7 linked regions of the Macaca fascicularis genome follow. The protein of the gene in region 5 purifies or fractionates together with the protein of the main gene of each other region. This does not show direct contact. Links are inferred from orthologs where the notes say so. Each region holds a gene or a part of one and is shown on either strand. Other genes may lie near its edges. The genes, in order: DHX15, PRPF8, DDX42, ILF2, SF3B4, PHF5A and RBM17.

What was found.
Region 1: the proteins of SF3B4 (region 5) and DHX15 purify together in Homo sapiens (co-immunoprecipitation; 4 studies listed by BioGRID and IntAct, with this or other methods). This does not show direct contact. The link is inferred for Macaca fascicularis from reciprocal best matches to the Homo sapiens genes SF3B4 and DHX15.
Region 2: the proteins of SF3B4 (region 5) and PRPF8 purify together in Homo sapiens (affinity purification with mass spectrometry; 4 studies listed by BioGRID and IntAct, with this or other methods). This does not show direct contact. The link is inferred for Macaca fascicularis from reciprocal best matches to the Homo sapiens genes SF3B4 and PRPF8.
Region 3: the proteins of SF3B4 (region 5) and DDX42 purify together in Homo sapiens (affinity purification with mass spectrometry; 3 studies listed by BioGRID and IntAct, with this or other methods). This does not show direct contact. The link is inferred for Macaca fascicularis from reciprocal best matches to the Homo sapiens genes SF3B4 and DDX42.
Region 4: the proteins of SF3B4 (region 5) and ILF2 fractionate together in Homo sapiens (co-fractionation; 3 studies listed by BioGRID, with this or other methods). This does not show direct contact. The link is inferred for Macaca fascicularis from reciprocal best matches to the Homo sapiens genes SF3B4 and ILF2.
Region 6: the proteins of SF3B4 (region 5) and PHF5A purify together in Homo sapiens (affinity purification with mass spectrometry; 6 studies listed by BioGRID and IntAct, with this or other methods). This does not show direct contact. The link is inferred for Macaca fascicularis from reciprocal best matches to the Homo sapiens genes SF3B4 and PHF5A.
Region 7: the proteins of SF3B4 (region 5) and RBM17 purify together in Homo sapiens (affinity purification with mass spectrometry; 4 studies listed by BioGRID and IntAct, with this or other methods). This does not show direct contact. The link is inferred for Macaca fascicularis from reciprocal best matches to the Homo sapiens genes SF3B4 and RBM17.

The regions. Positions count from the first base shown.
Region 1 is NC_088379.1:23,698,089-23,702,366, reverse strand, and holds the start of DHX15 (ATP-dependent RNA helicase DHX15), read left to right. Parts: upstream 1-1,478; 5' UTR 1,479-1,627; coding exon 1,628-1,698; intron 1,699-4,278.
Region 2 is NC_088390.1:1,799,951-1,803,450, reverse strand, and holds part of PRPF8 (pre-mRNA-processing-splicing factor 8), read left to right. Parts: intron 1-1,040; coding exon 1,041-1,170; intron 1,171-1,563; coding exon 1,564-1,760; intron 1,761-2,023; coding exon 2,024-2,230; intron 2,231-2,364; coding exon 2,365-2,528; intron 2,529-2,679; coding exon 2,680-2,806; intron 2,807-2,919; coding exon 2,920-3,112; intron 3,113-3,391; coding exon 3,392-3,500. UniProt on the Homo sapiens protein: Plays a role in pre-mRNA splicing as core component of precatalytic, catalytic and postcatalytic spliceosomal complexes, both of the predominant U2-type spliceosome and the minor U12-type spliceosome.
Region 3 is NC_088390.1:70,316,136-70,319,635, forward strand, and holds part of DDX42 (ATP-dependent RNA helicase DDX42), read left to right. Parts: intron 1-640; coding exon 641-688; intron 689-1,200; coding exon 1,201-1,298; intron 1,299-2,061; coding exon 2,062-2,338; intron 2,339-3,500. UniProt on the Homo sapiens protein: ATP-dependent RNA helicase that binds to partially double-stranded RNAs (dsRNAs) in order to unwind RNA secondary structures. Unwinding is promoted in the presence of single-strand binding proteins.
Region 4 is NC_088375.1:107,501,063-107,505,231, forward strand, and holds the start of ILF2 (interleukin enhancer-binding factor 2), read left to right. Parts: upstream 1-1,369; 5' UTR 1,370-1,435; coding exon of another isoform or gene 1,436-1,440; 5' UTR 1,441-1,759; coding exon 1,760-1,827; intron 1,828-2,140; coding exon 2,141-2,200; intron 2,201-2,489; coding exon 2,490-2,532; intron 2,533-3,732; exon of another isoform or gene 3,733-3,751; coding exon 3,752-3,856; intron 3,857-4,169. UniProt on the Homo sapiens protein: Chromatin-interacting protein that forms a stable heterodimer with interleukin enhancer-binding factor 3/ILF3 and plays a role in several biological processes including transcription, innate immunity or cell growth.
Region 5 is NC_088375.1:111,356,219-111,358,344, reverse strand, and holds the end of SF3B4 (splicing factor 3B subunit 4), read right to left. Parts: intron 1,200-2,126; coding exon 1,026-1,199; intron 915-1,025; coding exon 727-914; 3' UTR 501-726; downstream 1-500. UniProt on the Homo sapiens protein: Component of the 17S U2 SnRNP complex of the spliceosome, a large ribonucleoprotein complex that removes introns from transcribed pre-mRNAs.
Region 6 is NC_088384.1:10,143,649-10,147,606, reverse strand, and holds the start of PHF5A (PHD finger-like domain-containing protein 5A), read right to left. Parts: upstream 2,801-3,958; 5' UTR 2,772-2,800; coding exon 2,720-2,771; intron 2,270-2,719; coding exon 2,246-2,269; intron 1,755-2,245; coding exon 1,588-1,754; intron 1-1,587. Other genes in the region: ACO2 (aconitate hydratase, mitochondrial), read left to right, coding at 3,266-3,301.
Region 7 is NC_088383.1:7,064,927-7,067,315, forward strand, and holds the end of RBM17 (splicing factor 45), read left to right. Parts: intron 1-298; coding exon 299-371; intron 372-517; coding exon 518-621; 3' UTR 622-1,889; downstream 1,890-2,389. UniProt on the Homo sapiens protein: Splice factor that binds to the single-stranded 3'AG at the exon/intron border and promotes its utilization in the second catalytic step. Involved in the regulation of alternative splicing and the utilization of cryptic splice sites.

The sequences.
Region 1 (4,278 bases), on a different chromosome or scaffold from region 5:
CTAGCCGGGCGGGGTGGCGGGAGCTTGTAATCCCAGCTAGGAGGGAGGCTGAGGCAGGAGAATGGCTTAAACCTGGGGGGCGGAGGTTGCAGTGAGCTGAGATCGTGCCACTGTCCCCCAGCCTGGACGACAGAGTAAGACTCTGTCTCAAAACAAACACACAAACCCCTCATCAGTTGCAATATTTAAGTTGTGTTTAATCCTAGCAATTGCAGTCCCGAGACTTTGATAAGAACCAGAGTATGATCTTCCACGGCAGCCAAACCAAGTCATTCCATGAACAACAGAGATCACCCTGCTGCAGATAGTCCACAGATCTTTTCTTGTGCATTTCTTCTGGGAACGAATGCAACTGAGGAAGCAGAGATATTCTAGGGGGAGAGATCTACAAAATTCCTTAGAGTCATCTTGCCCCACCTCCTTGTTACGGCTTTAGGTACAGCCCTTATGGCCGTGAGATTTAACCTTCCGCAGCCTTTGCGTCCACGTCTACAAAATAACAACTACCTTGCAGGGTGTTATTTAACACTGTGAAAGTGCATTAATAGGCACAGAAAGAAAAACAAAAAAACAAACATAAAAGCAAATTGTGCCCTCACTGCGAATTCTCTGTATTCTAGCTAAAAACATCTATAGCTTGAGTGCATGGGTGTCTGTGCTGGGCAAGAAAAGGGCAAACTAGATCATGACAAGCCTTAAGATTTTCTCACTTTAGTTTCCTCACTGCAATTGATTTTTTTTTTTTTTCCCAAGTCGGAGTCTTGTTCTGTCGCCTAGGCTGGAGTGCACTGGCGTGATCTCATCGCAATCTCTGCCTCCCAGGTTCAAGCGATTCTCCTGCCTCAGCCTACCGAGTAGCTCGGATTACAGGCGTGCGCCACCACGCCCGGCTCATTTTTGTATTTTTAGTAGAGACGGGGTTTCACTATGTTGGCCAGGCTGGTCTCGAACTCCTGACCTCGTGATCCGCCTGCCTCGATCTCCCAAAGTGTTGGGATTACAGGCGTGAACCACCGCGCGCGGTCCCTCACTGCAACTGAGAGTAGCGGGGTGGCCTCAAGTTCCAGATCTGGAGTTACTAAATAGCTGGGTTCCAATCCCGGCTCTGCCACTTATTAGTTGTACGATCTTCGTTTCTCAACCTCTCTGGGTCTGAGATTCCCTTAAAGCCGGGGTAATAGAGATGAATAGGATTTCCTAACTAGGACTAGACTTCCTCAATTTCTCGACTCAGAGGGGCAAGGATAGACTGAAATGGAAAGTGAAGGCCTTCAGGCTTTTCCTAACAGCCGCTCCTAGGAGGGGAAAGCTACGGGAAGAGGGAGGAGACGCAAGAAAGGTCGGACCAATGAGGCAGCGGGCGGGACAGGAGTTCCCGCCTTTGGGCGGCGTGCGCGCGCACCTCGCTCACACGCACACTCGCACGCACGCACGCTGCGGAAGCGCGCGCGCGCGCAGGCCCAGCCCTCGTCGCCGCCGCCATTTTAGCTCCTGGTTCCGGCCGCACCGTGTGGGCTGTAGTAGCGGGAGGGGTGGGGGTCCTCCAGAGTTAAGTGGCTGTCCTCCACTGTGCCCATACAGCGGCTAGCTTTCTTCCTTAATAACCGCCCGTTCGAAGAGTGCGAGGATGTCCAAGCGGCACCGGTTGGACCTAGGGGAGGATTACCCCTCTGGCAAGAAGCGTGCGGGGACCGATGGGTAAGCCAGGCCGGGGGCGCGAGGCAGCAGCTCGGGCTTTGTTGGGGTCCTGGCAGGGAGCGGGCTGGGACTGGCCTGGCCGAGCGGGTCCTGGAGCCCGAGCCTTTGTTTCCTTCTGGGCTGGGTTCACCAGCGGCGGGTCGGAGAAGCGCGGCGCCCGTTCGGCCCGGCAAGGGCGCGGGGAGTTGCGTGCGGCGGGGCCGGTGCCCAACCCAGTCCGGAGGGTGGAGAGGCCTGCAGTGGCCATGAGGGCGCCTCCTCCCCCAGGCCGAACCGAGCAGGAGTCACTTTCGAGGGCGTGGGGCGGGAGTGAACCGCGGACCTCGTGGCCTCGGTTCCCGAGGAAGGCCTGGATCCGGGGGAGAGAGTGGGGGAGGGCGCGGCGGGAGTATTCGCTTCCAAGGGCACCAGGCACTTCCCAGGCAGAGGGGCCATGGGGAGGGCCTGAGTGGGGGCGCGGCCAGGCACTCCAGACGGGAAAGGCGGAGGGCGGAAAGTGAGAGCAGCGCGTGGATCCTAATGTAGGCTGGGGTGGGGGTGGCGGGAGTTGAGAGAAGCCAGCAAATGGGGAGTTCTCTGGGGAAGTGGAGTAGAGGACTTGCCGGGAGAAAGGAAGGGTGGAGTAAAATACCTGGTGGGCTGGAAGGCTGGTGTTTTGGGGCGACTGAGTTTATAGTTTGGCGGGAGAGAGCGTGTCTCGGTCCATTCAAACACTTTAAAGTAGATACTAGCAAACTTCCGCCCTCTGCCTACGCTCCCGCCATCTCCTCTATTTCCTGCTTTGGTTAAAAGTGGTTACCGAACATCATCCCATGGGGAGGGATTAGAAGGCATTCTTTTTTTTTTTTTTTCATCATTTATTTTCTGTGCATGTCCCACTTTTCTTCATAAGTAGCTTTTGAAATACAGGGATCATGTTCAAAACGTGTTTTTAGTATTGATGGCGAAACACCGCCCATGTGGAGGTTGAGAGTTGAAATACTTACACAAACTCATGGTGTTCCAGATTCCTTTCCTTAAAGATACAGAGGAATTTAACAGTTAACTTAAGCAGTTTTATGAAAATCTGTTTCTTTCCCGTGTGTGTTTTCATTGCTGAAGTACAAAGACCTATTTGGATAATTCAGGCAAAACCCACAAAAGCCCGAATATCCAAATACTTTGCATAATTTTATCATTTTATTGTGTACTTGTGATACGGAATCACTGTGTCAAGTCCCCTTGTCTAGCTTTTTTGAAATTTTCAGCTGAAGTTCTTCATTGAAATTGATTTCTAGGGATATGTTTAGTGTCATTGTAGAGTATAAGCCAGGATAGGATGTACTTTGAGACCTTCCCATATGTTGAATTATTCAATACAAAGCAAAAGCATGTACAGTTTTGTGAGTTGTTTAGTTGGCGATATTAGGCATTGTAAAAAGACAATGACACTGTAAGACAGACTCTCTTTAGGCTATCACTGTCCCCCACCGTTACCCCCCACAAAACGTTAAATGCCTCTGAGCTGTATGTCACAGACTCTCAGAGCTGGGAGCAACTTAAAAAAGACTCTACAGCTCCACTCAAGGAATGAGAAATGGAGAACAGTTAAGGTGGCTTGGGCAAGTTTACAGCAGGATCTGGAACCCTGCCTTTATCATTTTCACTCAGCAGCACACAGTTCAGTACTGTAGTTAAGACTCATTACAGCCTATTTTAATGACATTTATAATGGGTTGGTAAAGTAGGGAACACTTAGTTCTTGATTTCTCTGAAGCAAAAATAAATTGCTGTCATCTGGAACTGATGTCTCTAACAGGAGGTCAGATTGGAACAAAATATTCTGGGAGGGAATGAATGAATTCATTTGTATTTGTGCATATGTGCACCATTTAAAATGCTTCCCTTGGGATTAGTGGTCCCACCATATGTATGTGCAATTGTTTACTATCTCTTGCAAAAACAGATACCCTTAGTAAACATGTCGACTTTCGGGGTCAAATGGTAGCTTTATGATTCCCTTGTATATTATTTAGAATTTGCCTGTGGATAAAGGCGAGTTCATCTTTGGAATAATGCTCAAGTTATAAGAAATTGTAGAGGGAAGTTTTAATACTAATTTCTATGTCATTTGAGTGCCATTTATCATAGAACTGGCTTTATTTAACAGTGGACTTACAGTGTTTATCAGCATCAGGATTTTTTTTCATACTCCATAATTTTAAGTCACTTGTTGACTGCCATGCAATCCTGCAGATTTTTTTTTTTACCCTGATAGTCAGCAAGTGGTTTTATCTGAGAGCATAAGCTTGTCAGTCTTACAAACTCCACTGCCAGATAGGATGTCTCCAATACTGAGAAGAGAAGGTAATTCAGTGGGAGATTTCACTTACATTAATGTTCCCAACTATATAAGTCTTTATTTTATTCTTGACATATTTTAACTTTGAAATCAGGTGAAGTTATTATAGGTTTCTGTTGCGTATTCTGGCCTCATTTCTTCTTTTTGTCAACCCACAGAGTCTTCACTATACAGTTATTACCAAGAGACAACTTACTGTTGAAGTATGGAAAAAAGTTTTCCATGTTAGGGACGTTTTT
Region 2 (3,500 bases), on a different chromosome or scaffold from region 5:
GGATTACAGGTGCCCGCCACCTGTAATCTAGCTTTTTTTTTTTTTTTTTTTTTTTATTTATCTATTTTTTTTTTTTGAGACTGTCTTGCTCTGTTGCCCCGGGGGAATGCAATGGCACGATCTCGGCTCACCACAATCTCTGCCTCCCGGTTCAAGCGATTCTCCTGCTTCAGCCTCCCGAGTAGCTGGGACTACAGGCGCGCACCACCATGCTTGGCTAATTTTTGAATTTTTAGTAGAGATGGGGTTTCACTATGTTAGCCAGGCTGGTCTTGAACTCTTGACCTCAGGTGATCCACCCTCCTTGGTCTCCCAAAGTGCTGGGATTACCAGCGTGAGCCACTGTACGCAGCCTCACTGGACTTACTTTCTCACATCTTTTTTCATTTATACATGTAGACAGGGCTCTTTCCAGGGACCTATTTGGAGACCAGCTATGAGTGTATCCTTACTGCCCCTTTAAATTCACATGGGCAGTCTTAGTTCCTGGTTTTTGCCTTAAGGTTTCTCATTTACCCTTTTGTTTTAGATGTTGTTTAGATGTTGAGGACCCAGAGTTGTTTTTTTCTTTTTACTCCTCTACTGCCATCCATATATTCGTCTGTATGTGTATATATATATATATATATATTTTTTTTTTTTTTTTTTTTTTTTTCTGAGACGGAGTCTGGCTCTGTCACCCAGGCTGGAGTGCAGTGGCGCGATCTCGGCTCACTGCAAGCTCCGCCTCCCGGGTTTACGCCATTCTCCTGCCTCAGCCTCCCGAGTAGCTGGGACTACAGGCGCCCGCCACCTCACCCGCCTAGTTTTTTGTATTTTTTAGTAGAGACGGGGTTTCACCGTGTTAGCCAGGATGGTCTCGATCTCCTGACCTCGTGATCCGCCCGTCTCGGCCTCCCAAAGTGCTGGGATTACAGGCTTGAGCCACCGTGCCCGGCCTGTATGTATATTATACATATATGCCCCACCTCTGCCCAGGTTTCTGTTGCTGTTTAAATGCATTGCTAACTTGTGTTCTTAACTTCTGCTTGGGATTATAGGGCCCTGTAGGGAAGGGTCCTGGCTGTGGCTTTTGGGCTGCTGGTTGGCGAGTCTGGCTGTTTTTCATGCGTGGCATTACCCCTTTGTTGGAGCGATGGCTGGGCAACCTCCTGGCCCGGCAGTTTGAAGGTGAGTGGTTTTCTCTGTGTCCAACTTCTCCTGTTACTGCTTCAAAGCTACCTCTCGTTGTCTGAGTCTATTCCCTGCTCTTGTATGAGCACCCCTTCCTACTGGATTGCCTTCAGGTTCAGTTCTCAAAATGAGTCTGACCTAGTTTTCTATTTCTTGGGCTTCCTTCTGGGGCCTTGAGAGGCAATCATGCACTTGCAGGAGTGGACATTCTTCAGAAGCGTAGTTGTGAATGTTTAAGGTAGCTCATCTTTTTGCATATGCTGGGCACATGGACGCTTTGTTAATACCTAATTTTATTGTGACCATAATAAGTGAGGGACATGAAGGTAGAGACCCTTACTGAAAGCAAGGAATCATGCTTGTAATCCCCTTGGGATACTCTACTTCTAGGTCGACACTCAAAGGGGGTGGCAAAGACAGTAACAAAACAGCGAGTGGAGTCACATTTCGACCTGGAGCTGCGGGCAGCTGTGATGCATGATATTCTGGACATGATGCCTGAGGGGATCAAACAGAACAAGGCCCGCACAATCCTCCAGCACCTCAGTGAAGCCTGGCGCTGCTGGAAAGCCAACATTCCCTGGAAGGTGGGCGTCTCTGCATTTCCTTGGAGGGGTGAACATCGTCTTTAGGTCAGGATCACCACTCTGGGACTCATGAGGGGCCTATCTGGCTCCCACCTCTTTTCTTTTCTCTTTTAGAGAGGTGCTTGCTGTGTTGCTTAGGCTGGCCTCAAGCTCAAGCTCCTGAGCTCGAGCAGTCCTCCTCAGCCTCCTGAGTAGCCGGGACTACAGGTGTGCACCGCAGCACCTGCTTTATCCCGGCTTGATTGTGCTTTTTGGACTTTTAGGTCCCTGGACTGCCAACGCCCATAGAGAATATGATCCTTCGATATGTGAAGGCCAAGGCTGACTGGTGGACCAACACTGCCCACTACAACCGAGAACGGATCCGCCGAGGGGCCACTGTGGACAAGACTGTGTGTAAAAAGAACCTGGGCCGCCTCACCCGGCTGTATCTGAAGGCAGAACAGGAGCGGCAGCACAACTACCTGAAGGTTGGGCAGAGTAGGCTGGGCTGGCTGTGAGCGGTCGGGGAGTGGGCATGAGGGAGGACTGCAGAGTTGTGACTGAACCTTGTTCTCGGGGGAGCGGGCTATAGCGGGAGGCTAATTTCATGTCCACCTTGCAGGACGGGCCTTACATCACGGCGGAGGAAGCAGTGGCAGTATATACCACCACAGTGCATTGGTTGGAAAGCCGCAGGTTCTCACCCATCCCATTCCCCCCACTCTCCTATAAGCATGACACCAAGTTGCTCATCTTGGCATTGGAGCGGCTCAAGGAAGCTTATAGGTGAGTATTAGGGTAGATAGGTTCCTGCTGGGAAGGTGACAGGAGGGAATAGCATCACCCTCAGAGTCCAAAGAGAGAAGGTGTAGCCCCAGTCTCTTCTGGTTTTACTTCCTCCTGGTTTTCCCATTCACCGTTGCCATTGCCTTATCAGTGTGAAGTCTCGGTTGAACCAGTCACAGAGGGAGGAGCTAGGTCTGATTGAGCAGGCCTACGATAACCCCCACGAGGCGCTGTCCCGCATCAAGCGTCACCTCCTCACACAGAGAGCCTTCAAAGAGGTGAGTGAGAGCCTCCCAAGTTTTCTTTTTGGTTCTGCCTTTCATTCTTGGTAGAACCAAAGGTAGCAGGTTGCCTCAGGTGATTGGTGTGAACCAGCCTCCTTGTACCACAGGTGGGCATTGAGTTCATGGATCTCTATAGCCACCTGGTTCCAGTATACGACGTAGAGCCACTGGAGAAGATAACTGATGCCTACCTGGACCAATACCTGTGGTATGAAGCCGACAAGCGCCGCCTGTTCCCACCCTGGATTAAGCCTGCTGACACAGAACCACCTCCACTGCTTGTTTACAAGTGGTGCCAAGGTAGAACTTTCCTGAGATTGCCCTGTGAGGAATGGGGGATGAATTTAGTTCTATGTCAAAATTCTCATCTGGGCAGCATGATTGGTTTACTCTCCTGATGCATGGTAGTAAAAGGAAGTAGTGTTCCTGTTAAACTGAGGAAAGCCCATAGTCAAAGCAATCCGGATGCCTACGTGGAATGGTAGTGGGATTGGTTGTGGAAGGTGATGATAGTTACTGTGGGGCTAGTCCTGAAAGAGGATTTCTAACCTGCTGGAGACCTGCCTTGCTACTCCTCAGGCATCAATAACCTGCAGGACGTGTGGGAGACAAGTGAAGGCGAGTGCAATGTCATGCTGGAGTCCCGCTTTGAGAAGATGTATGAGAAGATCGACTTGACCCTGCTCAA
Region 3 (3,500 bases), on a different chromosome or scaffold from region 5:
TCTCTGTCTTTATTTTTATTCATATGCCTTTGATCATAGAGGTTAAGGTCTGTGTACTTGGGTAGGTGAATGTCAGATGATTCGAGGCCCTTTGCTTTCCTATCCTCATAGCTGTCTTTACTGATTGGAACACTGCTAGACCTAGCCCAGTTGGATGGAGGGAAAATTTTTCACTTTTATACTGAACGATATGTCTAGGAGCTTCGTTTTTTTTTGAGACAGAGTTTCACTCTTGTTGCCCAGGCTGGAGTGCAGTGGTGCGATCTCACTACAACCTCCTCCTTCCAGTTTCAAGCGATTCTCCTGCCTCAGCCTCCTGAGTAGCTGGGATTATAGGCACCTACTCCACACCTGGCTAGTTTGTTTTTTTGTTTTTGTTTTTTTTTTTCGGTATTTTTAGTAGAGAGAGCTGCGTTGACCAGGTTGCAAACTCCTGACCTTAAGTGATCCGGTGATCCACCTGCTTCGGCCTCCCAGAGTGCTAGGATTACAGGCATGAGCCACTGCGCCCGGCCTGGGGTTTCTAATTTTCTTAATTCTTACAACTTCTTGTGAATACTTTTACTACAATGGCTTTTTCCAGGCTTCCCAAACTGTATTTCAGGTTATAATATTAATTTTATTGTTCTGCTTCTTCCAGAGTACCAAGTTCGATCCATAGCAAGTCATGTTCGTCCTGACAGACAGAGTATGTATGAAGCACCTTCGTTAAACCAAATTTGTACTAAAAAGGACACTTATTTATTTTATAAGCACTCAGAGTTATGGAAGTAAAAATGATCATGTGTGTATTGGTGAGAACCGTAACGAGGGAGGTAATGAGTTTATCTGAGCTGGACAGGATCTTAGCACTAGATATAACTTGTTCCTTTTTATAGATGATAAAAGCAAGCCTCAGAAATTAAATAAGCTGCCCAAAATTATACAGTTTTATCAGCGGGTAGAAGCAATGATCAGTACAGATCTGCTGATTTGAAATCAAGAGTCTTTTTCTGAACCATGCTGACAACTTGTCTTAACTAAAAATGTAATAAAAATAGAATAAGAGCAAATCTTTCTCTAGTGAATCAATTTTTAAACTAAATTTAAAGCTCAGGTGAGCTTATGTAAAAAAACTGAATAATCTTGAATGCCAAAGAAGCTTAATGGATATTCATAAAGATATACTGTTTCTCTAACAGAATTTATCTTATCTTGTAGCTCTCTTATTTAGTGCAACTTTTCGGAAAAAGATTGAAAAGTTGGCCAGAGACATCCTGATCGACCCTATTCGAGTGGTGCAGGGAGATATTGGAGAGGTAACCCTAAACAGGGCTGGATGGGACCTTAATGTGTTTATTTCTCATATTATGGAACACAGAATTAATTTCTCACTATTGAGATAAAAAAAGATGTTATGTTTATAGATGCAACATGCTTGAGATTTGGTATTTTGCAAGTTGTGGGGATACATGAAAGAGGACTGGCAAAATATTGGGAATCATAGAAGCTAGATGATGGGTACGAGTTGATTTTGTTCATTTTGCTTTTCTGTTTGTTTTACTGAATGTCTCAAAACTTTATAATTGTTTTAAAAAGGCTTCAAAGAGACAAAAAGATCTGCCTGGAAGCATACTACAGTGTGTTAGGTTGGAACTGACGTTTTAATTATTGTGGGAGGGGCCTACACAGGAGGGAAAGGGTGACCTGAAAGGCCTGGCAAAAATCAGGTTTCATTTCTTACCTGTACATATGCGCTATATGGAAAATTTCTCTGAATTGGGACTTGGAATTCAGTTATGGCTGCTTAAGAATCCTTCAGTTGCTTGCCATGGTTATTGTTAAGGAAAGCTCTAGAAAGTAGTGGGGCATACAAATTAGGTATATACACCAGGCGGAGAGCAAGGTGATTGAAAAGGAGAGGTGAGTTTTGAGCTGCACTTGACTTGCTGAAGGAAGGCCCAAGGAGAACTGGATTGTTGAAGGTCTTCTCGATGCAGGTAGAAAATACAATGCTAGTCCTTGTTTAGGTGGCCTGTGACTCCAATGTCACAATCATCTGTTTCATTTCTTCCTTCTCAGGCAAATGAAGATGTGACACAGATTGTGGAGATTCTCCATTCTGGACCTAGTAAATGGAACTGGCTTACCCGGCGTCTGGTAGAGTTTACCTCTTCAGGGAGTGTCCTCCTCTTTGTTACTAAAAAAGCCAATGCTGAAGAGCTAGCGAATAACCTTAAACAGGAGGGTCATAATCTTGGGCTGCTCCATGGGGATATGGATCAGAGTGAGAGAAACAAGGTCATTTCAGACTTTAAGAAAAAGGACATCCCAGTCCTGGTGGCCACAGATGTTGCAGGTAGAGTATGAATTTTTCAACAACATTAAGTTCCTAGGCTATAAGGGTACTCTGTCTTACTGTATAAGACGTGTAATATCTGAGCAGGCTGATGGAAAGACTATTGGCCTGACTGGCCATCCCCTCCCAAACCCCCAAGGAAGCAGCAGTTCAGCACAGGGATCACAGTCTGGAGCTCTAGACACCACTTTTCTTTTTTTTTTTTTTTTTTTTTTTTTTTTTTTTTTTTTTGAGACGGAGTCTCGCTCTGTCGCCCAGGCTGGAGTGCAGTGGCCTGATCTCAGCTCACTGCAAGCTCCGCCTCCCGGGTTCACGCCATTCTCCTGCCTCAGCCTCCCGAGTAGCTGGGACTACAGGCGCCCGCCACCTCGCCCGGCTAGTTTTTTGTAGTTTTAGTAGAGACGGGGTTTCACTGTGTTCACCAGGATGGTCTCGATCTCCTGACCTCGTGATCCACCCGTCTCGGCCTCCCAAAGTGCTGGGATTACAGGCTTGAGCCACCGCGCCCGGCCGACACCACTTTTCACTTAGTGTCTCTCTCTGATCAAAGAATCCCTGCAGCGGCTGGGCGCAGTGGCTCAAGCCTGTAATGCCAGCATTTTGGGAGGCCGAGACGGGCGGATCACGAGGTCAGGAGATCGAGACCATCCTGGCTAACACGGTGAAACCTCGTCTCTACTAAAAAATAGAAAAAAGTAGCCAGGTGAGGTGACAGGTGCCTGTAGTCCCAGCTACTCAGGAGGCTGAGGCAGGAGAATGGCCTAAACCCGGGAGGTGGAGCTTGCAGTGAGCTGAGATCCGGCCACTATACTCCAGCCTGAGCGACAGAGCAAGAATCTGTCTCAAGAAAAAAAAAAAAAAAAAGAATCCCTGCAGCTAGAAGTCACTGGGGGAAAAAAGGCAATGAATGCCCTTATTGTATGTCTGAATATAGTAGATATCTTACATTGATCTACTATACACAGCTTAGTTGGGCAACTTCACTCAGGATGAGAACAGTTTTTGGAATATTATTTCTGCTTTGTTCTGTCAAGTTTTAATAACTACCCTTAAACACTGATATTCCCAGAAAGGAGAGAACTTCTCAGCTTCATGACACATTTTAAAAATATATTCCCAGTGCAAGAGAAGAGGGCATGGCAGATTCTTGATGCAAAAGATA
Region 4 (4,169 bases), about 3.9 Mb from region 5:
GCCGAAATGGGAGAGTCTGTTGAGCCCAGGGGGTCGAGGCTGCAGTGAGCTATGATGGTGTACCACTGCTCTCCAGCCTGGGCAACAGAGTGAGACCCTGTGTACAAATAAAATAATAGAAGAGAGGGTAAGAGACAAAGAGATTACTGGGGGAAAAGTCTAATACGTCTTTGGAGTTCAGGAAGGAGGGAAATAATAGGTAAAACTAATACTGGAAGATATAATAGCTAATAAATTATATAAATGGATGACAAACCTCAAGCCATTGATTCAAGAAGCTCAACAAACCTCAAGCAAGATTTTTTTTTTTTTTTTTTTTTTTTTAAGACGGAGTCTCCCTCTATCGCCCAGGCTGGAGTGCAGTGGCGCCATCTCAACTCACTGCAACCTCCGCCTCCTGGATTCAAGATTCTCCTGCCTCAGCCTCCCGAGTAACTGGAATTACAAGTGCCCGCCAGCACAAGCCACCGCACCCGGCCCTTTTTTTTTTTTTTTTTTTTTAAATTAATAACATTTATTTAAATCTGGATGGTGGTTATGTGGACAGAATACGTTTAGACTTAAGATGTTTACGTTCTGCTGTAGTAAATTAAATATCAAAAAAGTACGTATGGAAGGGAGGTAGATGAGGGATAAAAGTCTACAAGTTGGATTCAGTGTATACTGCTCGGGTGATGAGTGCACCAAAATCTCACAAATCACCACTAAAGAATTTATGTAACCAAGCCGGGCGCGGTGGCTCAGGCCGGTAATCCCAGCACTTTGGGAGGCTGAGGCGGGTGGAACACCTGTTTTCCACATTAATTCAATCAATATACTCCTCCTATCTGAAACCTGTTTCTCCTGCTTCGAGTTTGTAGACGTGTAGTGTTCATAGTTGCCTAAACTCCCTTTTCCCCATCAACTTCAACTGCTAGTGGCAAAAATGGCTGATACCGCTTGCGTTTTTGGGGTAGGAAAATCGGCAAGGTATTTTCATTCACTGAATGTAATGTAAATTACGTGTACGGTACAGGGCAATGAAAAAAATTCCGATAGCAGAGGATGGTTTCGATCCATCGACCTCTGGGTTATGGGCCCAGCACGCTTCCGCTGCGCCACTCTGCTATCTGAAGGCCAACGTTCTCATAACTGTTATAGAAGACCACGTAGTCGTTGTCCTGACTTCTTCAGTGCCACCTAATGTCTGATCAAAAATTCGTCATTACTATAGAACCAGTTCTTATTGGCTAGTTCCTGACACAGTAGGCGTTTTTTATTGGTTCATAAGCCCGGTTTGACAAAGTAAGCCAATAGGCATAAGCGATGGGGTAAGGCGGGAGCCAATCACGCCGGGTTTTATTGGGACACGCCGGCAAGACTCCTCTTCAGTTGTCTGCTCCTCAGAGGAAAGGGGCGGTTGGTGCGGCCTCCATTGTTCGTGTTTTAAGGCGCCATGAGGTAAGGGGGTCGAAGTGGTCGAAAGGTTTCAGGTATTCGACGGAAAACTTTGGGAACGTGGGTCGAAAGAAGTCGGAGTACCTAAAAGGACCATGTATCCGGGAGCTGGCCAAAAACCTGAGAACTCCTGGTCTAGGAGAGTGGGAGAGAGTGAGGCCGGTAGAGGCGGGGAAACGGGCCCGGGATGGGGTTGGGGCCGGGGCCCAGGAGTGGGGAGGCGGGTTCGACACCTCTCTTTGAAGGGTTGCGATGAGGAGGTGTCCTCAAGTCCACGGAGGAGCTCCCCACCTTCCCTCCGTCCCCGTCATCCGGGCTGAGAATGCTGGAGCGAGCCGCATTCATCCTCAGTGCGAAGGGCTTGACATACAGGACATGCCCGATAAATGTGTACGTTAATGAAGAAATGAGCAATCTTTAGCTTCCGAAGTATTAGGATTCGTGTGGCCCAGGATTATGGGTTATTTCGTGTAGGGCTCACTGTCTGAGCCCCATCATTACTTGATGGGGGGTTGTGATTAACTTATCCAGAATGAGGAGGTTATGGGGGTGTAACTGGGCACCATTTGGAATGGGGAGAAGTGTGTGAGTGGGGTCTCTTGCCTACCGTTGGGAGGTTCCGAGGGATGAAAGTAGCCAACTTAAAATGACATGGCCGGTGGGTATTCCTTCAATGAGATCAAAATAAAATCTGCATTTCTAGGGGTGACAGAGGCCGTGGTCGTGGTGGGCGCTTTGGTTCCAGAGGAGGCCCAGGAGGAGGGTGAGTGCCAGCTTTTAGCATCTCTGCACTTAGTTGTTAGTTTCTGCTTGTCATCTAAATAGGAGTTTTGGAATAGACTAATGTCACTTGGTTTTGTGAGAGCCAACTGTGGTCTTTTCCGCACTCCTGCTAAATGAATTTGGCCCCACTATGCTAAGAATGATTCTCTCCCTCCCCAGAGACTTTGTCACTCATTCTGAGGTCTGACATGTTTTCAAAATTGTTGGTGTTATTTAAATCTCACTTGATTCCTACATAGGGAATAATTTGGCTGTTTTTCATGTTTTAGGTTCAGGCCCTTTGTACCACATATCCCATTTGACTTCTATTTGGTGAGTACCTTGGGTTAATAATACACAATTTCTGGCCATTCTTGAAATGGAGCCTAGTATCTCCCAGTTAATGAAGTTAGATAGTGGTTGAAGAGGGCAGGCACAGTGCCTCACACCTGTAATCTTAGCACTTTGGGAGGCCGAGGCGGATGGATCACCTGATGTCAGGAGTTTGAGACCATCCTGGCCAATATGGTGAAACCCCATCTCTAGTAAAAATAAAAAAGTTGCTTGGGCGTGTGCCTGTAATCCCAGCTACTTGGGAGGCTGAAGCAGGAGAATCGCTTGAACCCGGGAGGCGGAGGTTGCGTGAACTGAGATGGCACCACTACCAAAAAAAAAAAAAAAAAAAATGGTGATTGAAATGAGGGGGAAAGTGATTTTTGAAAAGACTTGGGGTTTTGAGTCAACTGTGTGTTGCTTTACCTACAGAAACAGTGTAAGCATGGTGGGGAGAATAATTCCTTGACTACTGTTGGCATTAAACATGATTATAATCTTTGTTCTGAACAAGTAATCGTATCTATGGCTAATTTGTTACTATAAAGATAGTGATAGCTTAAATTATGGCTATTCCAGCTTGTATCCTTGTTTGAACATTTTTTCTTTTTTTTTTTGAGACAGAGTCTCACTCCGTCACCCAGGCTGGAGTGCAGTGGTGCAATCTTGGCTCACTGCACTGAACCCGGGAGGCAGAGGAATCAGGACCTCTGCCTCCCAGGTTCAAACAGTTCTCCTGCCTCAGCCTCCCAAGTAGTTGCTATTATAGGCGCCATGCCCAGCTGTTTTTTGGGTATCTAGTAGAGACGGGGTTTCACCATGTTGCCCAGGCTGATCTTGAACTCCTGACCTCAAGCGATCTGCCCACCTCGGCCTCCCAAGGTGCCGGGATTACAGGCGTGACCCACCATGCCTGGCCTTTGAACAAATTTTTTTTTTTTTTTTTTTGAGGCAGGGTCTTACTGTGTTGCCCAGGCTGGAGTGCAGTGGCACGATCTTGGCTCACTGCAGCCTCGCTTCCTGTGTTCAAGGGATTCTCCCACCTCAGCTGGGATTACAGGCGTGAGCCACCATGCCCAGCTAATTGAACAAATTAAGGAGTAAAAACAAGTGTAGAATTTTCTATTTTTAACCTTTTTCTGTCGTAGTAATAGAAAAAACAATCTCTCCTGTATATTATTTTCGGCAAATGGAATGTAGTTGTTTACTTCTGGTTTAGTGTGAAATGGCCTTCCCCCGGGTCAAGCCAGCACCTGATGAAACCTCCTTCAGTGAGGCCTTGCTGAAGAGGAATCAGGACCTGGCTCCTAATTCTGCTGAACAGGTATGTTCTTTTGGCTGTCTTCCAGAAATGTCTCTAAAGCAGGTAAAAGTATTGGTAAAGAGTAACTGTTGGTAAGGTTAAGAATGGTGTTAACAGAGCCTGAAATCCACAGAGGGTTTAATTGTTCTCCTTATTTCTCATTGTGGGTGGAGATAGCCAGGTGAATATATAAACAAATTACATATGCATTCTTATTTTTATTGGGGACAAAGAGTTGTTCTCTTTCCATATATTCAAGGCCAGAATGAAGTGTTTTTAAAGTCCTAGGTCAGTATTGAGTCAGCTCATATGGAAGGGATTAGGAGAAAATACT
Region 5 (2,126 bases):
GGATCGCTTGAACCCAGGAGTTCAAAACCAGTCTGGGCAACATGGCAAAACCTCACCTCTACAAAAAATACAAAAATTAGCTGGGTGTGATGGCATACACCTGTGATCCCAGCTACTTGGGAGGCTTTGGTGGGAGAATCACCTGAGCCTGGGAGGTTGGGGGTGCAGTGAGCTGTGATCATGCCACCGCACTCCAGCCTAGGCAACAGAGCAAGACCATGTCTCCAAAAAAAAAAAGAAAAAAGAAAAAAACACGATGATCCTACACTATAGATATTGGGTCCCCCTATCTTCCAAACTAGAAGATAAGCTCTATGTAAGGAAACAATTACTCTAGTGCACAGCAGAGCTCAGCAACTGCAACAGTACATTACAGAACAAGCCTTTAAAATGTGGAGTGAGCACCCTTGCTCCTACTCCTACCTTACCATTCTTTTCATGATACTCTGACATCTCTTCTTAAAGAAAAAAGTTACTGTTGTCAAGGAAAACACCACAAATAAACAAGCAGTTTAGTTTTATTTTCTCTGTGCATTTGCAAAATACTCAGGACCAACATAAAAAAGAAATACCTCCTGTGGAAAAAATTACATTAAAAAGGGGAATGGGCTGGGGGTGCTAAAAGGGATTAGTACCTTAGCCCCAAGGAGCTACAGCATCTCTGATTGGTCCAAGGAATAGAAAAGATATTGGGAAGATGTAACAGGAGGAAGGAAAAATGTGAATTTACTGAGGGAGAGGGCCTCGAAGTGGACCTCGAGGGGGAACTGGTGGCCGGGGAGTGGGTCTGGGTGGAGGGAGAGGCCCCCGCTGGTAGCCATAGGGTGGGGGTCGTGGAGGGCCAGTGTATCCATGCGGGGGCATCAGTGGAGGAGGTCCACGCATACCATGCGGAGGCATAGGACCTGGGTGACCTGCAAGGAGTAAAAGAAAAGTTAGTAAGGGCACGGGACAAGGGATGTGCCTACAGGAAGCTGTAAGAACATGATAGGTGCAGATGAGGGAGGTGGCTAGAGACGACTTACCCATGGGAGATCCGAATGGAGGCCCTCGGGGGGGCATACCCATTGGAGGAGGTCCAGGATGAGGCATTCCAGGTGGTGGTCGGGGTGGTGGCTGCCCCCCAGAGCCTGGGGGTCCAGCGTGGGGATGTCCTAAGCCATGAGGGCCATGGTGTGCCAGCTGCATCTGAGACATCCCTATGAAAATAAAACAGACACAAGAAGAAAAGAGACAAAGAGAAGGCAAAGAAAATAGAGAAAAGAACAAAATTAGAAAGAAAGTGACATCAGAAAGAGAACTATACAGAAAAAAGGGTACAGAAAATAAGGCTGGCTGGGCACAGTGGCTCATGCCAATAATCCCAGCACTTCGGGAGGCCTAAGTGGATCACTTGAGCCCAGGAGTTCAAGACCAGCCTGGGCAACACAGTGAGAACCCATCTCTATCAAAAAATACTTTTAATTAGCCAGGCATGGTGGTGTGTGCCTGTAGTCCCAGGTACTCAGGAGGCTGAGATGGGAGGATCAAGGCTACAATAAGCCAAAACTACACTACTGCACTCCAGCCTGAGTGAAAGAGTGAGACCCCATCACCAAACAAACAAACAAACAAACAAAAAAAGAAGAGTGGTAAAAAGTGCTCCCTATCCTTGACCCTATTCCAACAGCACAAACCAACCAATTACTCAATCAACTCCTTACGCTCGCTTCTCCCATGATTTAGGTACTGTAATAGTAATGCTGAAGTATATAACAAGTGGAGTAATGACTCTGTTGATAGGATTTGAGAAAGTAGCAGAGAACATACTGTCTAAGCCAAGATCTAATTCTAAAGGATGAATGCTTCAGGAGGGTAAGATCATGGGAAGAAAGCATCCCAAGCAGAAAGATTACAGGTGTGTCAAACAGCACAATATATTCCAGGAAATGCCAGTTAACTCAGTAATCAGGAGCAAAATGCAGTTACAGAAATGAGGGGCAGGGGCCAGCTCATAAAGAGCTGTGAATGCTATGGTAATGAGTTTGAGTTTTACTCTGTAGGTAAAAGGGAGCAACAGAGTCATTTTGAGCAAGTGTGTGCACATCTGTGTTTTAAAAAACCTACTCTGTGAAAGTAGATCGAAG
Region 6 (3,958 bases), on a different chromosome or scaffold from region 5:
GCCTGACCAACATGGAGAAACCCCGTCTCTACTAAAAATACAAAATGGGCTGGGCGTGGTGGCGCATGCCTGTAATCCCAGCTACCCGGGAGGCTGAGGCAGGAGAATTGCTTGAACCCAGGAGGCGGAGGTTGCGGTGAGCCGAGATTGTGCCACTGCACTCCAGCCTGGGCAACAAGAGTGAACTCCGTCTCAAAAAATAAAAAACAAATAAATAAATAAATTAGATAACTGGGTACTATCATTAACCTAGTGAGACTGTATCATACTTCCTTTTGTTTTGTTTTTTGAAGAAAACATGCTGATTCATAGTTTTCCCCCACAAAAACCCTGCTGCCAATACTAAACGAAAGAAATGGGGTAAACCTTGCCTGTAGCACTGGTCTATAAGCTCTCTCTCCTGGCATTTGGCTCAGAGAGTTGAATAGTAAGTAACCACTGCCACTACGCAGTGTCAAGGGACAAAAAAAAAGTCATGATGCAGGGCCACAATCACTTCTGCAATATTAAACCAAAGGTACTTGTTAACTGCTTAAAGCTGAAGTCAACTTGAATCGTCCCAAATTCAACTTTGTCACGATATACACCCGAATAGTGCTTAATGATAGATCTGAGACGTTAATGAGTGGCTATGACACAACATGGGCTGTACAGGCCTTATAAACAGACAGGGTCTCTGTCACCCAGGCTGGAGTGCAGTGGCATGAAAATGGCTCACTGTAGCCTTGACCTCCTGGGCCCAAGTGATCCTCCACCCGCCTCAGTTTCCCAAGTAGCTGGGACCACAGGTACACACCAGCACACCCGACTAATGAAAAATATGTTTTTCTGGCCAGGAGTGATGGTTCATGCCTGTAATCCCAGCACCTGGTGAGGCTAAGGCAGGAGGATCACTTGAGCCCAGGAGTTTGAGACCAACCTAGGCAACAAGACAAGACCCTGTCTCTACAAAAAAAAAATTAGCCAGGTGTGGTGGCGCATGCCTGCAGTCCCAGCTACTTGGGAGGATGAGGTGGGAGGATCGTTTGAGCCCGGGGGAGTCAAGGCTGCAGTGAGCCTTGCACGTGATCATGCCACTGCACCCCAGCCTGGGCCACAGAGCAAGAGACCCTGTCTCAAAAAAAAGGAAAACAAAAAAACAAAACAAAACCAAAAAACCAAATTGTTTTTTGTTGTTGTTTTTGAGATGGGATCTTGCTCTGTGACCCAGGCTAGTCTTGAACTCCTGGACTAAAGTGATCCTCATTAACTTGGACTCCCAAAGTGCTGAGATTACAGGTGTGAGCCACCACGCCCAGCCGGATGTCATTTCTGAATAAAAATAATCACAGAGAAACATGAATAGAGAGAGGGCTCTTCAAATTGCTGGTCTTGACAAAGATTTGCTTCCCTTGCATTTTTCCCCTTGATGCAAAATAACTGCCTTTTATTGAACTACACCCAGTTTGACTCACAGAACTTGAAAAAATTATAACCTAGATGACTAGATGAACACAGTAATCTCCATAGACCATAGGAGATTGCAGTGGATGGCAAAAAAGCAGGAAACAAAAGCAGGAAAGGTCAGATGGAAAGCTGTACACTTACATCCTTCTCCTGGATGGTGCACTCCTTACAATAATACGCATCAGAGACCCCAGGGCCTCCACAGATCACACAGCGTCCCTGGTAAGATCCATAGTTACACTCATCACATATGCGCACCAGAGTGCAGGGACGCACATAGGAGTCACAAATCACACACTTGCCATCACCTGTAAGGAAGAGAATGGAGTCATACTCACAACAAGTTCTTCAGTCCTCTGCTATCTCCTGCCATGGGGAAATACACTAGTCTCCTTTTGACAGTGACTTTAGGACCCTCCTCTTGGCATCACGAAACTTGGTTTACCCAGTATCCATCTCAAGTCCCTCAACATATACAAAAGTTTATCAATTAACATATGTAAAGAGCCTAGAAAATCACCTCAGAGATGATAAGCCTATATAATTGCCGGCAAAGTGCTGTGTATTAGGGAGGGGTCATGCTACTCTGGCAATTTTTCCTGTTGAAAACTAGAGAGATACAGCGTTAAATGTGCAAGTGGCAGTGGGGAGACAGAGGGGCCTTTGGTTGAAGTCCAGCATTCAGTGTTCACATACTTCCAGGCACATCTACTCAAAGCCCTCTTTGTGGCACTTTTGCTGGTTCCACAGAAACTGGGAGTGGGAAGGGTGGGCTGTTGGGACGGAAGGTTCCACTCACATTTTTCACACAGTCTTCCGATGGCTGCAAGATGAAAGATGGTTAAAAAGTACAATTAGAATAAAGGTTTTGACAAACGGGAAGTACATCCTCGAGCTGGGGGTAGGGACATGAGTACGGACTGCAGTGATACCTGCGGATAGCCATTTTATCATTACAAATTTCCAAATGAACCAAACCCACAGCCCAACCACCCTTCTGAATCTCCTCCAACGTCCTGGGGCAAGCTCTGAGTTTCTGTGGACCTGGCCCAGACCCCACCCCCGATACCTGCCTGGGGCTCCCAGCACGCGCACCCCCGCCCTCTTCTCATCAGCGGCCACAAACCTGTGCGTTCCTACAACACCCCGCGCCCGAGAGGCGGGAAACGTGGCGCCAGCTGGGCAAGCCACTAAGGAAGTGATGGGAACCCCCGACCCCCCAGCTCCTAATACCACCCCTACCCAGACAGACAGGGGCAGGGCGCAGTCTCACCAACACCAGCCTGCTTGCGGCAAAAGATCAAATCAGGATGATGTTTAGCCATAGCTCCCAATTAAGCCGGCCACCGGAAGCTTCCGGAACTTCCGTCCGACCTTTATTTCCCATTGTTCCTGCCTCCACGTCGCTGTGATTGGTCCTCTAAGCTTCCGTCAGTTTACGATCCTTGCACCAGGCCCCTCTTGCTCTCGCGCGAGTTTCTGTCGCTGCTGTGTGGCCAGGTCCTGGCAGGTGCATGAAAGTCTTAAAAACACTCCCAGATTTGGATGGCAGAGATAACTAAAATTTGTTCTTGGATAAAACATATTTGTGCTTGGTATCTACTTCTGCAAGTGTCTTTAGGCAGTTCTATTTCCTCTTGCGTGTCTGTTCATTACTCTTGAGCTCCGCTCATTGCGTTCCCAGGGTTCTGGTGCCCCTAGGGAGGCCTCGCCTTCACCGTGACGCCCCACTCTTCCGGGCACGCCCCTGCCCAAAGGCTTTAAAAGGCGCCGTTTGGGACGTCACTTGCATGCGACCTCATCTTTGTCAGTGCACAAAATGGCGCCCTACAGCCTACTGGTGACTCGGCTGCAGGTGAGCGAGCTCAGGGACCTCTGGGTTCACGGGGGCGGGGTGCCTCCTACTGTGCCGGCGGCTATGGGCGAGGCAGGGCGAGGCGGGCCCGACCTAGGGCCAACTTCTCGTGTACCTGTTCCGGTTGTGGGCCCGGCACCCGTGTCCGCTCCTCTGGTGCCCTAGGTCAAGGCGTCCCCGGCACAGTCAGCTTTCCTGGCCCTGTCCCCGCCTCGCAAGAAGCGTGGGCCCAAGCAGCGGCGGCCGGGTGAAGAGCGGAGGCACCTCTTTCTTCTTTTTGAGGACAGCATTCCCTGCTCCCGTGGGGTGTCTTTCCATTCCTCAAGGTGAGGACAAGGTGACTAGGGGGCGCGGTCGTTGTTGAGCCTTCTAGGCCCAGTTCCTGAGGCCTCACTTCCCATCTCTTAGCAACAGAGACATGACAGCATCTACGGTTGCCAGGCCTGGAGTCTGGAGAAGAAACTAGGACCCTGTACCACCTTTTGAGGACCCTGCGGAACATGGAATGCCCGAGGGGGGGAGGTGGTCTTCTGGGCCCCTACGTAGTAAATAATAATAATAGTCTCTCACGTTTGCACAAGATTTGAGGACTGTTTTTTAATTCTTCATAATATTATTTGATTCATGTAATCATAGGAATGAGATGATTTTTCTCAT
Region 7 (2,389 bases), on a different chromosome or scaffold from region 5:
TGTTGCTGTTTGTTGACCACATAATTATTTGTTTACGTCATCCGCTGGCACAGAGCCTTGATGAGGTCAGAAACTGCTTAGCCCTGTGTTCCTGGCACTAACAATGCCTGTCATAAAAACAGGCATTCAGTACATTTTTGATGATGAACAAATTATACTTATTTCCTTGGTATTTGACAACTAGTTGACTGTATATGATGATAATTAGAAGATTCACTCTGAGAAATCATTTAAAAGAGAAAACTCATTCAATGCAATCTCAAATCCCTTTACGCATCACACTCTCATTTTCTTCCAGATTCCTGGTGCCCCTGATGATGAAGCAGTACGGATATTTTTAGAATTTGAGAGAGTTGAATCAGCAATTAAAGGTTAGTTGTACAGCTAAATATTAAAGAATTAAAAAGTTGAGTTTACAGCCTTAATGTTTACAAGTAAAGTTACTGTTTAATTAAAGTTAAACCTTTATAATGTCTTATAGGATACCTATATTAACTGTCTTTTGTTTGCCTTTCAGCGGTTGTTGACTTGAATGGGAGGTATTTTGGTGGACGGGTGGTAAAAGCATGTTTCTACAATTTGGACAAATTCAGGGTCTTGGATTTGGCAGAACAAGTTTGATTTTAAGAACTAGAGCACGAGTCATCTCCGGTGATCCTTAAATGAACTGCAGGCTGAGAAAAGAAGGAAAAAGGTCACAGCCTCCATGGCTGTTGCATACCAAGACTCTTGGAAGGACTTCTAAGATATATGTTGATTGATCCCTTTTTTATTTTGTGGTTTTTTAATATAGTATAAAAATCCTTTTAAAAAAACAACAATCTGTGTGCCTCTCTGGTTGTTTCTCTTTTTTATTATTACTCCTGAGTTGATGACATTTTTTGTTAGATTTCATGGTAATTCTCAAGTGCTTCAATGATGCAGCATTTCTTGCACTTAAAAAAAAAAAAAAATAGAAAATTTTGGGACATGGGGTGATATTAAATTATTCTTTGTTTTTCTTTTTCTTTTAATAAAGCCTGCAAGTTACTATATTGTAGTTTCATAAATTCTGTAATAAAGTATCATCTTGGCAGTGTGCCAAAGGTGAAAATGATGCTTTCTCTAACAGAGAAATTCTTAGTGACTCCAGTTGTAGAAAAACGTCTTTACAACCTGAATAAGATTGAAGAATTGTGAACATACCATGCCTATTGGATGAATCATTTGCCGTTAAGCTAAGTCAGACTGTAGGGTTTGTGATGGATTTATGGAATATGTGGGTATAGAAATCATGAATCTAGCATTTGTTTTCAGAGATTCAAGCATAGTCTTTAGGGTAGATCAGAAATGACAAATGAATTCAAAACCTAGCAGGTGCATTGTAAATGTGTGCCCAATTATGTTTTGGAAATGGCAGTTCCTTGGGGTCATGTTTCTACTGGCAAAATTTGCAATAGTATTGTATGTAATTTTAAAACTTATAAAATTATCCACATTGGCCACATAAACTGTACTGCCAATTAATAGAATTCTGGAATTGTGAGAAATTGTATCATTGAAGTTCAATAGGATGTGTGGCTTAAAAATTTATCAGGACCACAAAAAAGAAAACAAAAATATTTGGTACTGAGGTTCATTGCCAGGGCAGGAGGTATTTCCAGAAAATACTCATGCCTGTGTTCTGTTCCTTGCTTTCCCAAATACTGCATGTGACTCTCCTAAGTGGCAGCTGAAAGACTCGAGCCCGTGTTGTCTCCTTTGGTTATTATGACATGAAAGTGTATCAAGAACTCAGCATTTCTTTGCATCCATGGACTTGGTTTGGAGACATAAGGAATATTCTGACCCTTTTTAAAAAAGGATTTTCTCATGTTTTTATTTAACATAAATAAAAGAATAACATTTTATCTTTTGTGGTATTATTTTATTGAATAAAGTTGAGTTTGATGATAAAAGTGCACCTGTTCTGTAAAGTCAGTTGGGGTTAAGGAATGTGAGGTAAATTACATAATTGAACATTGTAGAGGACAGAAAGAATCCAAAGCAGCCCTGAAACTAGTTATCTGTGGAATTAGGCATACCATTCCTCAAGCGGACACCATGTTTGAGCTTACAAGTACCCGAGTGTGCCATGCTGAATGTAACAAGGACTAGTTTGATTTCAGAAACTAATGGTTCCAACCCACCTTTCATGCTTGCATTTATTGTTATGCTTTGTAATAACATTGTTTGCTTGCATTTAGGTGGCCTTTCTTCACATTCTCATGGTCAGCAACCAGAGAATTGCAAGCAACTCATACTACTTGATTTCCATTCGCATGGGCACAACTTATTGCATGCCTTTTTCCCCAGTCTTTTATTTTTAAAATTATCCGTAACTGCATTAATCACTTAGTGCTTTATTTAT